Linked DNA regions of Caenorhabditis elegans. The protein of the gene in region 1 interacts with the protein of each later gene in a pairwise test. Each region holds a gene or a part of one and is shown on either strand. Other genes may lie near its edges. The genes, in order: clec-64 and C53D5.5.

What was found.
Region 2: the proteins of clec-64 (region 1) and C53D5.5 interact in a two-hybrid assay, tested with the Caenorhabditis elegans proteins (one large-scale study listed by BioGRID).

What each region holds. Positions count from the first base shown.
Region 1 is NC_003280.10:12,896,484-12,901,053, reverse strand, and holds clec-64 (VWFA domain-containing protein), read right to left. Parts: upstream 2,813-4,570; 5' UTR 2,765-2,812; coding exon 2,298-2,764; intron 1,526-2,297; coding exon 1,332-1,525; intron 1,271-1,331; coding exon 1,073-1,270; intron 1,013-1,072; coding exon 900-1,012; intron 838-899; coding exon 652-837; 3' UTR 615-651; downstream 1-614. Other genes in the region: clec-63 (C-type LECtin), read right to left, coding at 3,667-3,846, 3,979-4,289, 4,338-4,534.
Region 2 is NC_003279.8:305,240-312,819, forward strand, and holds C53D5.5 (Gamma-glutamyltranspeptidase 1), read right to left. Parts: upstream 5,552-7,580; 5' UTR 5,549-5,551; coding exon 5,523-5,548; intron 4,523-5,522; coding exon 4,303-4,522; intron 4,196-4,302; coding exon 3,966-4,195; intron 3,553-3,965; coding exon 3,332-3,552; intron 2,576-3,331; coding exon 1,852-2,575; intron 1,370-1,851; coding exon 1,051-1,369; intron 850-1,050; coding exon 661-849; 3' UTR 572-660; downstream 1-571. Other genes in the region: imb-3 (Importin N-terminal domain-containing protein), read right to left, coding at 6,162-6,337, 6,395-6,545, 6,597-7,580.

The DNA.
Region 1 (4,570 bases):
ACACCATTAAAGGTGGAGTACCGAAATTTGAGACTTTGTTTTTTTAGACCCAAAATGACCCAAAACTACCGAATTTCGTAATGAGACGTTTCGAAAATTCCTCGAAAAAAAAAGTTATGGAGGTTCAAAATTATGAAAAAAAGGCTAGTTTTTTAGCTAATTGTAAAATCAAAATTTTTGTCAACTTCTCGGTGTCACAGCATATTTAATTTAAACTGTTTAATAAATATTATGTTCTTTTATTAGGAGTTTATTCGTTGATTTGAGTACATTCAAGGTCTGTGAGACACAAAAATGTAATTTTTGTTTGTGCCCCACTGGCCGAAAAAGGACTTAAATCAACGAATAAACTCCTAGTAAAAGACCACAATATCTATTAAAGAGTGACAATTGAATCAAAAATTAAGTTCCAAACAATGTTATTTTAGCTGAAAATAATCCTTTTTTCTAGAACTTTGAACCGCCATAACTTTTTTAAAAGAAATTTTCAAAACGTTTCAATACGAAATTCGGTTTTTTGGGTAATTTTGGCTCCAAAACAGCAAAGTCTCAGATTTCGATACTCTATACTACCTAAGTACGATTTTCTGAAAATTGGTAAACTTCGATAAGCAAACTAATTCAAAATACATACATATATGTACAATAAATTCAATCACAATATTTATCAGTATCACATGATGCAACTTCACACATATAATTCTCATTTTCTCGGTATCCATTGATGTTTTGCCATCCGACGTCTAGATTCGAGTTATGCTGATGATTAACGACAACGGTGTTGGTGAATGGGGTGTTCGGATATGTTGGATTCCAATGCGAGTAACTTCCATTTTGCTGGAATTACAGTATATTGAGTTGCCAGACAGAGAGGAAAAATAAAGCTAAAGCTGTTATACCAAAATGAGTGGGTGTCCTTCTGGCTGCTGCCATCTCCATGCTCCGTTGACATAGCTCAACCCGGTGTGATAAGCGTAAGGTTCAGTGAATTCAGCATTGTTCAGAGCTATTCCTGGAATTCTAAATATTGTGCAAAGTCTTTGGCACTGGAAAACTTGTATGAATGACTCACTGAACAAAAAATCATGCTTCCGATCATCAAACTCGGTTACAAGGTAACCATATTTAATGCTATTCTGGCAAGCGATCTTTGCACTTGCCCATGATGCAGTTATAGTTTCGGCTCGGATGCAAATTCCAAATTTATAAGACTTCTCGTCGTCATAGCTTGGCCTGTATTGAATCCAAGTTCTTGGACAGAAACAGTTTGCTGAAATCAAACCATTTTAAATTTTTTGTAAAATTCCACCACTAAGAAAGAGAAAACGTACTCTGAAGAGCGGCTGCCTGAATTTTGCCGACCAAATTGGGATCTCTAGACTTGAATGACATATTTGGTGATGCGATTTTTGAGAGCTTGCTCAGTAGGAGCCCATCTCCATCTGGGTCAAAAGCGACGGTTGCGATCGCTACTCCAGATGATCTCAGACGTTTTGCAATGTTTAGGGGGTCTTCTCCATCTTCTCTGGAAAAACTTTTTTTTTCGGCAAACGACTTTTCCGGCAAATCGGATCAAATTGCCGGAGTTGGAATTTTTGTCAAACCGGCAAACTTTCGGAATGAAAATTTCCTGCGAATCGGCAAATTTACCGGAATAAAAATTTCCGGCAAATCGGCAAATTTTCAGCAAATTTCCGGAAAATCGCAAATCAGCAAATTTCCGGCAAATCGGCAAATTTCCGGAATAAATATTTCCGGCAAATCAGCGAATTTCCGGCAAATCGGCAAATTTCCGGAATAAAAATTTCGGGCAAATTGTGGTCTTGCACATTTTTTTTTTGGAAATTTCAGAATTTCAATTTTAATCGGCAAAAATGTACGTATCCTATGAATGTTTCTACATCTATTTTGAGTAGAATGCAAATTCTATAAAAATATATTAAGAAAACGGGGTAAAATTTCAAAAAGGCAGAGTTTTATGTGTTTTCATCTTAAAAAAAATCGCTCTAAACATTTCCGGCAAACTTCCGGCAATTTGCCAATTTATCGAATTTGTGAACAAAAAAATTTGCTGAAAATGATAATGATATATTTTCCGGCAATTTGAAAACATGCAGATTGCCGGAATGGAAAAGTTCCGGCAAACCGGCAAGTTGCCGATTTGCCGAACTGCAAACCCTGATTCAAACTACATACCGTTTGAAACGTTTATGAGTTTTTCTTTTCCAAATATTGGCAAGAAATTGTATATAAACTAATTTTAGTTTAACTTTCAAAAAACAAATCTAAGCTTCTACCTGTAAGCTGAAGCATAAACCACAACCAATCGATTATAATTCTCTCTAACTCCATTCATCCTTCCATTGTAAAGAACACTCTCAGCCATCCCAAGCCCTTTCGCCAGGAACGAATCATCAGAGTCACTGACCTCATTGAGAAACGAGAAAAGCGTCTGATAGACGTCATCGGCCGACTGAAACTGATTCAAGTCAGCGACAACTGTAGCCTCACTATTATAAGTGAGTATGCTAAGCCTGGTAGATCTTGGATCAGAATAGTCCGTTCCAATTCTTGGGCCACTTGCAAATGTGGTCGCAATATTGGCTGCAACTTCTGTGATTCCTTCGTTTGTCATGCCTTTCGAGTTATCCACGACTATAACGATGTCTAGCCAAAGGTTATTCCAGTTACTTCCACAGTTGCGATCAGTTGAAGCTTGGGTTGTTGCAAAAGCAGTGAAAATGGCAAGTAGGTTTAGTAACATTGCTGGAAATTTTGGAGCTTCATAGCTTCAGCTTCATATACCGAAAAACTGTAAAAATGCATTCAAAATAATTGCAGTAAGTTTGAAAACCAATTTTCAAAAAAACGCCAAACAACAGAAAATTGACAAAAAGCAGGCATGCAGGCAGATAAATAGGCATGTGTGCGTGCCTGTTTTTCATGAGAAACCAAAACATGCCTACCTGCCTGAACAATATGGAAAAAAGTAAACTTGAATGTGGAAAAGTAAGGAAATGATGATATTCTGAAAATAATCTTTTATGAGTTTTTTTTTTCGAGGGATTAGCATTTCCACACGGGTGTGCACACATTATTTGCTCAATGATAACGAAATTTAGTGATTTTCGATGCAATCGAATTTGTAATTAATTTTAGTTTTGGGTAGGTGAAAGTGAAAGGTTAAGAGCTTTTAACATTTATATTTTTGAGAAAATGTTGATTTTTTAACGGGGTTCTGGCCTTCCTCATTACATTTTTCTCGCTCCATTGACAAGCCGGACAACGGGTGGGATAGTCGTGTACTCTACACGGACAAATGCATTCAGCTTTACAACTAAAACCGAGCCGCGACGCGCCGTAAATCTACCCCAGATATGTCCGAGCCAAAATGGCCTAGTTCGGTAAACTATTGAAACTTGAACACAACTTTCAGTCTGTCTTCTTTGTATTTTGTAGTTTGATTTGCGGACAACACAACTGTGAGGGGATGAATCTACAATATAAGTTTTACTACACTTCAGAAATTATTTAAACAGTATTATATTTCTTGATTTTTTCCATTCGACAAATTATTTTAATGTGAAAGCAAATTAAAAAAAAAATTCATCATTAAAGCCTTTATACCGCAACAGGAACCTTACAAAAAAAATTAGTGTAGCTAAATTAACAATACTTGTCGGTATCACAGGAAGCGACTTCGCACATGTAGTACTCAGCAACACTGTATGCGTTGATGTTCTGCCATCCAACAGTGAGATCCGAGCTGAATTGCTGCTCAACGACTCCGATGTTGCTGGTGAAGGACTTTGGATAGGATGGGTTCCATTTGGAGTAGCCGCTCATCTGAAAATTGATTAGGCTTATCATCCGAACAATGTTCAATTTTTCGTTATCACTTCTAGTGATTTGATCTTTTTCAAGGTTCAATACGACTATCATCATCTTACATCATTACGTGACAACGGCAAAACTTACTGGCTTGAGTGGGTATCCAGCTGGTTGCTGCCAATTCCATCCTCCGTTCACATAACTCAATCCGATGTGATAGATGTATGGAGCTTGGAAGGCGGTGTTGTTCTGGGCGACTCTGAAGAGGAAGTTGTGCTTCTGTCCGTCGTACTCGGCGGCGAGGAATCCGTTCTTGGCGAGGTTCTGGCACGCGAACTTGGCAGCGGTCCAGGATGAGGAGATGGTGGCGGGGCGGATGCACACTCCGTATTTGTAAGAGTTCTCGTCGTCGAAGTTCGACTTGTATTGGGTCCACAAGTTCGGGCAGAAGCAGTTGGCTGTAATTTTGAAATTTTATGTATTGGTAGAACAACTAAGGATCTTACTTTGAAGAGCAGCTCCTTGAAGTTCTCCAACCAAGTTCAAGTCCTTGGAGGTGAAAGCGTAGTTTGGCGAGGCGATGTTGGTGAGTCCGGCGAGAAGAGCCTCATCTCCGTCCTGGTCGAAGGCAACGGTGGAGACAACGACTCCGGAGGACTTGAGACGATCGGCGACTGGAATGGGGTCGAGCTCGCCTTCTCCCCTGAAACGTAGGAGTGTGTAATTACTTTAAATATTT
Region 2 (7,580 bases), on another chromosome or scaffold:
AATTTTATTCGTTTTTTTCTCATAATTCTGTCATCATTTTTTGCTCTGCATCATCATCATCATCGTCAACATCATCGCGTTTTATTATGGGTTCATGTATTATTACACTTTCCTCGAAAAAAAATTTTGACGAACGTGTAATATGTTTCACCTTGTCTCATTTGTACCTCGTTCATTGTTACGGGTTTGAAGTTTTAAAACTCTGAATTTATATGAAGAATTTTAATTTAAAAAAAAACTTTGTTTCCTTTTTTGAATTTTTACAGACAAATTTTTGGCTTGAAAACTGAAAAACCCTGACTAAACTTACTATTTATGTGTTGGGTATCAACGTGTATTGACCCACGACGTGGCTAAGAAGATCGTACAACGTGAACTCTATGAACTAACTTATTTATTCCTTAGTTTAGTAATGTAATAAACTACTCGTCTTCTCCTCCTCGTCTCGCCTTCGAATACACAACATTATGAAAAGAGTTTTTCTTAAGATAAAAAATGTTCTAAAAAATCGATGGCCGAGTTTCCTATTTACGCGGCCACAAGACCAGTAAAAAAGTGTTAACACAAGTGCGAAAACTAGAACATTTATTTTCAAATTTCACCCGATTTCTACAAAAAATCAACAAAAAAGTCACAAAATTTAAAATATGAACATAATAATCAATATCCCGCTGGCGCTGACTCCTCCCCTTTTCGGAAATCACTGTTCGCATAGATTTGGCCGTCGGAAAGTCGTTCGGCGGCGGTGACAACTGTCAAATTGTTCACTGCCTTCATTACGTGACCACGATCGATCAGGGATTTCACGTAGGCTTTCGGGAAGTTTGGCTCGTACCACGTGTAATTTGGCTAAAAAATAAGGAAATTGGGAAAGGTTTTGATTTTATTGATTGAAAAATATTTCATGTGAAAGTCGAAAATTGATTGAAAATTAAATTCAGAAGTTTTTTTTCTGAAAATTATTGATTTTTATTTTTAAAAAATCAACTTTTTGACAATTATCGATTTTTCCAACAAAAAAAAAATCAAATTTCGCGTGTAATTCTCTACCTGTAACTGATTGTGCATCCTTGGAGCATCAACAGCTTGTTTAACATCTGCTTTCAGCCATAACGCATGCAGTGCAACTCCAGCAACACCCGAAATAATGGTGGATCCACCGGCTCCGCCGACCGCCATAAGCTCCGCCCCTTTTGTGTTAAAGATCACTAATGGACTTTGACTACTCATGGGGCGTTTTCCAGGGCGAATGAAATTGGCGGGAGACGGTGGGAAACCGAAGAAATTCGGATGACCGGGAGTGGAAAAGTCGTCCATTTCGTTATTCCAGAGAATTCCCGTCGATTCGGAGGATACTAGGGCACCCAGGCTGGAAGAATTTGAGATGGTGGAAGAGTTTTTTTGGCGGTGGCCTAGAAAATGTCTTCATATCCGAAAAAGTCAAAGTGATGGCCTAGAAATTTAAGTTTGTGGCCTATAAACTTGAACTGATGGCCTAAAAATTGAACGTCGTCCTAAAAATGTTTTTAACTGATGGCCTAGAATTGAAAGGTGATGGCCTCCAAATTTCAGGTGGGCGTATATAAACTTTGGTTGATGGTCTAGAAATTATACACGTGGCCCAGATTATGAAATCACTTCGGTATAAAATCCAGGTGGTAAACAATTTACTATTAAGACTGCCTAAAATCATCCCCTGGCCTAATTAGTTTAAAATTTTTGGTGACGACCTCGAACTTGTTCATTTTTATCAACTGCAGTTGCTTGTCGACTGAGGACTAACTTCTCACTTGCTGGCCGAGTTTTCGAAGTTCGGCCACCAAAAATTTCCTTTAAAAAAGCCAAACTCACTATAAGTTAATGGTAGACGTAACCGAAACTGCATTGCCGTCTGCATCGATAATCGATACATGAGTTGTTCCATGATCCTGCGGTGGTGCTTCAAACGATCCTCCATAGTAATCATCAGGATGCGTCGTGTCTGTGATCTTCGACCTAACCCAATCCGCCCACTCTTTTGACGTAATATTTTTGGCGATTTCCGTGGCGTTTGCCACGAATTGCGGGTCGCCAAGCCAGCTTCTAGCCGCATAACTAAATTTGCTAGATTCCAGAAAATGATGGTATAACGTTGCGATTTCGTTGAACGACTTCATGTTATATTCGAAGCCATCCATCACGTTAAGTATTGCCTGAGCCACCGCTGAGCCCGAGGGAGGCGGCGGGCCGCAGACTCCGCGCCCGTTTTTCAGCTTTGTGTAGATCACATTTTTTGAGTCGTGGACTATTGATTTGTAATTTTTAAAGTCCTGAAGCCGGATGATCCCACCGTTGGCTTCGAACTCTTTGGCGAGTTGCTCGGCGAGCCGACCTGTATAAAAGTCGGCGATGGGATCTGTGGAGTTTGCGAGTAGCCGGAATGTTTCTAGAAGGTTTTGGCGGGTTTTTATCTGCTCTCCTGGTTGGAAGACACGCTGAGTTTCGGGGTTGATGAAGTTTTTCATGGTGGGCTCCGCGCGGATTTGGTGCTCGTTTTGGTTGAGAGCTTTTGCAAGGGCATGGGACGTTGGGTAGCCTGGAATTTTTTAGGATGGCCTAGAAACATGAACCGATAACATAGTTACTTATTTTGTGACCTCGAAATTTTCATGATGGCTTAGAAATTTTTATGATGGCCTAGAATTTTTATGGTGACCTAGAAATTTTTTGATGGTCTAGAAATTTTTAGTAATGTAATAAACTACTCGTCTTCTCCTCCTGAAAAAATTTGGGCCCGTCTCCCTTCGTGGTGAGACCCATCGTGGCGAGACCCATCGTGGCGAGACCCATCGTGACGAGACCCATCGTGACGAGGCCTATCGTGGTGAGACCCATCGTGGCGAGACCCTCCGTTGAGAGACCCATCGTGATGAGACCCATCGTGGTGAGACACGCCGTGGTGAGACTTATTGTGATACCCATCTTAACGTACACAGTAATTGGAGAAACTTTTAAACTGATTTTTACAAAAAGTTCAACATTTAACTTACCAAGAGCTCAATATTCCGTTGCCTCGCTTTTTGTTGCCCTCAGGGATTATTGTTCTGTTGCCTCCATTTCCGTTACCCCTGTTGTGTTGCCTTCGAGCAGCGTTGAATCCGTTGCCCCCCCCCTTTTTCGTTGTCCCCGGGGAATATTAAATCCGTTGCCCCCGTTATCCGTTACCCCTAGGGATTGTTGGCCGGTCTAAAAACGGCCACCAGAAAAGTTTTTGAGCATCAAAAATGTTCTACGCCGTTAGGAGTTTTTTAGGCCAACAGAAATATTCTAGGCTCGCAGAAAAAGTGCCCACCTTCAGCCAACAAATCAATAGTTGGTTTCAACAACTGTCTCCACTCGACTTTTCCACTTCCGAATCTCTCGAATTCAGTCCGGAGGCCGTGAAGCTCTCCGGGCACCGCAATCGCCTTCCATCCGATTCTCGACTGATTCCATTTGTCACGGTACATTTCCTCTGTTGCGGCGAGCGGAGCAATCTCCCGAGCATCGATTACCGTACACTCTTTTGTCGTTCTGGAAGAATTTTAGAGGTTTCTAAGTCATTGAAAATATTTTTAGGCCACGGCAGAAGTTTAAAGGCCACACGCGCTTCTGGCTTTCCTCATATTTTGAAATGGAAGAGTTTGCCGAGTTAGCCCGTTTGGACTAGGCCACGACCGGGGTAAATTTACGGAGCGTCGTGTAGACGATTGTCAATGGAGCGCGAGAAAAACGCTTTGACGAAGGCCAGAAACCAGTGAGGCCACAATGTGATGTTTGCAAAAATGTTTTTAATGGCCTAGGAAAATCATTCTTTCTTCCAAAATTTTTCTTCTTTGTTTTCCTTTTCGATTATTGATTTTTAGTTGAAAAATCAATATTAATAATTATCTTTTTTTTTAATTATTGATGTTCCGCTCCAATTCGTGGCGAGACCAACAACTCACGCATTATAAATAGTCATAAAATGTCCGCCGCCAATTCCGGCCGAATGTGTATCCATTACACCGATACAGAAAAGTGCGGCGATTGCCGAATCCACCGCATTTCCGCCTTTCAGCAAAATATTCCGACCGATTTCTGAGCAAATTTCGTTGTCGGCGGCGACGGCGGCTTTCGAATATTTTCCGAGTGGAGAAAGTGATGGTCCAGGCCAACGGGGTAGGCGGGCATTGTTCTGGAAACCTTGCCGAGTTTTATTTTTATCGGCCACGTAGCAAATCGGCCAGCCATGAACCGACTGCGGACTAGTTTTCACCCTCGTGGCCTAGCTTTCTAACAAACCTGCATTAGTAAATGAAAATACAATGAAGCGAATGCGACCGTTGAGATTAACAACGTGAATACGAGAACCGTTAAGCCGACCGCCGCGACTAAAGTACGGATTTTCATGGGTTGCTCGGCCTCGATAAGCGGCTCAACTTCATCAAATGGTCCATATTCTGGCGGTAAATTATCATCGTCCGGAAACGTGTTATAGTATTGAACAGGAGGTGGGTTACTGCTGAAAAGTCGAGTTTTGCGCGTCAAATTTGATGTATTGAGTGGCATGATCACTATTATTACAAGACCGCGAAATTTTGAGAATGCGTATTGCACAACATTTTTGACGCGCAGAATATCTCGTAGCGAAAACTACAGTAACTCTTTAAATCACTACGGTAAAGCTTGTGTCGATTTACGGGGTTTCGGTTTTTTCATTTTTTTTGTGTTTTTTAAAAAACAATTTATCGACTAATGAATGATTTCCGTAAATCGACACAAACACTACAGTAGTCATTTAAAGAATTATTGTAGTTTTTGCTACGAGATATTTTGCGCGTCGAATATGTTGCGCAATACGCATTCTCAGAATTTTGTGTTGCCGTAATAATTCTGATTTAAAAATGGAATTTTCAAAAATCAGAGGTTTCCCAAAAATTTGAATATTCCACAAAAAAGATGAATCTGAAGAGTATTTTCAATTTTTTGAGAAAATAATCGATTTTCTGGATTAAAAAATTTGAATTTATAGATTTCTAGATTCTAAAATTTGAATTTGTGCAATTTCAAACAAAAATGTATCGATTTTTATCGACTTTTCATAAAATTTAATTTAATTTTCGAAATTCCGAAAATATTGCCCGTTTTTCATATACCAAAAAAGTTGTATCAATTTTTTCAAAAAATTAAATTTTCATCGATAGTTGTTTTCAAAGCATCATGATTTTTTTGAAAGAATTTGCAAATGTGAGAACTACAGTACTCCCTTAAAGGCGCACGCTTGTTTTTATTTTTAAAAAATTGGTCGTTTCGAGACCTGGTACCGTATTTTCGCATTTGGGTAATATTTCCAGCATTATAAATTTAAAAACAATGCACTTTTTAAATCTTGAATCCATATATATATTTTTTTCAGAAACTCATGCCGCCTCGTTTGGGTCTCGATTCGAATTTTTTTCACAAACGTATAATATTTTCTCGAAAAACCCGCGAATTTTTAACATTATCGATTTTTCTCTCACCTCGTCGATTGCCCTTCAGGAGTCATTATTCAGAATTGAGTATGAATTAAAAAATCATAGAAAAAGTCAAAGCGCTGTCAATTGGAAATTTAGGACGAGAATGTCAAAATTGCAACTTTTCACGATAACGGAATTCTATCGCAAAACTAGATAAGAGCTACAGTTTGCTGCGTGTAAGCGCGCTCCAATGACAAACGAGAAGAGAAGAGAAGAGGGGGTAACCGCCAATAGCTCTCTTTATCGAGGATAGTCTTCAAGTGACAGAAGAGATATTCTGTGGTGGGAGAGAGTTGGGTGGAAGGGGGAACAATGAGGACTACGGAAGAATGACTTTTAGATTTGGAGTATAGGAGAAAGTGGAGGTTTTGGCTGAAATTATTTTCAAAAACTTTAACTGTAACAACTAACGAGTAGATTTGAAAATGAGGATAATATTCAACACAACAGAAAAAAAGTCGATAGGTAACTAATAAAAATTAGAGAAAATGTGGCATCGGGGAGAAGTGGTGGAACAAAAGAAGAAACTGATGATGATGATAGGAGGATAGCCGCGAAACAAGCGATTAACAGTGAACAAGATTCATTTCGGTGAAGATGGAGAAGATAACAGCAAAAAAAAAAACACAACAAAAGTCCTTATTATTGCCCATTGAGAGTTTGTTGAAGGACACTGGTAAGGTGCTCGTCGATTCCATCTTGCTGCGCGAATTGTGGGAACGATGCGTAGATTTGCTTCAGGATTGTGACAATTCTTTGCTTGGTTTGGTTGCCGCTATCGTCGTCGTTGAAAGCATCGTTGGCGATTGAGAGCAAGCCTGAAAAATACAAATAAAAATAAAATAAGTTACGGATTTTTTTAGATTAGAACTTACAAACAAGGAAGATTCTCGGAAGATTCTGATTTTCTGGTCCAAAAAGTGCGGCGTCTTGTTTATCAAACAATTCGGCGAGACACGTGTAAATGTAGGGGCTTTCCTCGGTGTCTGAATATGTTGGCAACCAGCTCAGGAACATCTCGACGACCTGGAAATAATATGGAACTTTTTTCTTGAAAAACTGAATTCTAAAACCAACCTTTCCGTAGGCTTCAGCAGGAAGTGGCACATTGCCGATGATTTTGGCAAATGCAGAAATCGCGTTTTCCGTGGCAACAGTGCTCTCCTCGGTGGCTCGGGCGTCCTCTCGTTGAATCATGGCGGCCAGTGGCTCCAAACAGCTCAAAATCTCGTTTCGGTAGTCGCTGATCTGGTGGTAGTTGATGGCCATAACTCCGAAACCGTAGCTCGCTGCTTGTCTCACTTCAGGATACTCATCTCCCAACAACTTGTACATTATTGGAATAAGCTTCGGGAAGCGAGTTGGCATATGTCCGACACCGAACTCGATGGCGTCATCGAGAAGGCACATTCCCCATTGTCTCTCGAAGTATTGTTTGGATCCCTCGATGAGTTGAATGGCACAGTTGAACACGTTGATCATTCCCTCGAAGATAGTTCCCTTGAACTCCTTCATAAGAGAGTGAGTCAAATCAGAGATGGCTCCAAGGCATGAGGCCTCCAATTCCATGAAATAATCGAGCTCCTCCTTAGCTTCAGCATCATCGTCATCTTCATCTTCAACTGGACGATCGCTCATTCTCTTTCCGTAGTTTTCAAGTTGCTTGAGAAGCACCGAAATGATGAGTTGAACCTCTTCCTCGGCGATTCCCTCGGTTTTCATAACCTCAATGCACGATCCGATGGTCGTCATGAACGAGGCGAGAATCTCGACATCGTCCTCCTCCTCCATAGAGGTCGTCAATGCCTTCAAGAACTCGCACCACAAACGACGCTTGTCAGCCAATCCTTGCTTCTCAACACAGGTCAACAAGCATGGCATGATTTCAGCGGAAGCCGTACGAACTCCGTCGTGAAGTCCGAAATCGAGATTCTTGATGGCGAGCTCGTAGACGTCGACGACGTATGGCATGAAAGCCTCCTTCATCTCCTTGGCGAACGCGACAAGCATATCGCAAGCAGTTGCCTTCTCCTCAAGACCGCTGGTGCGGATTCCGACAGT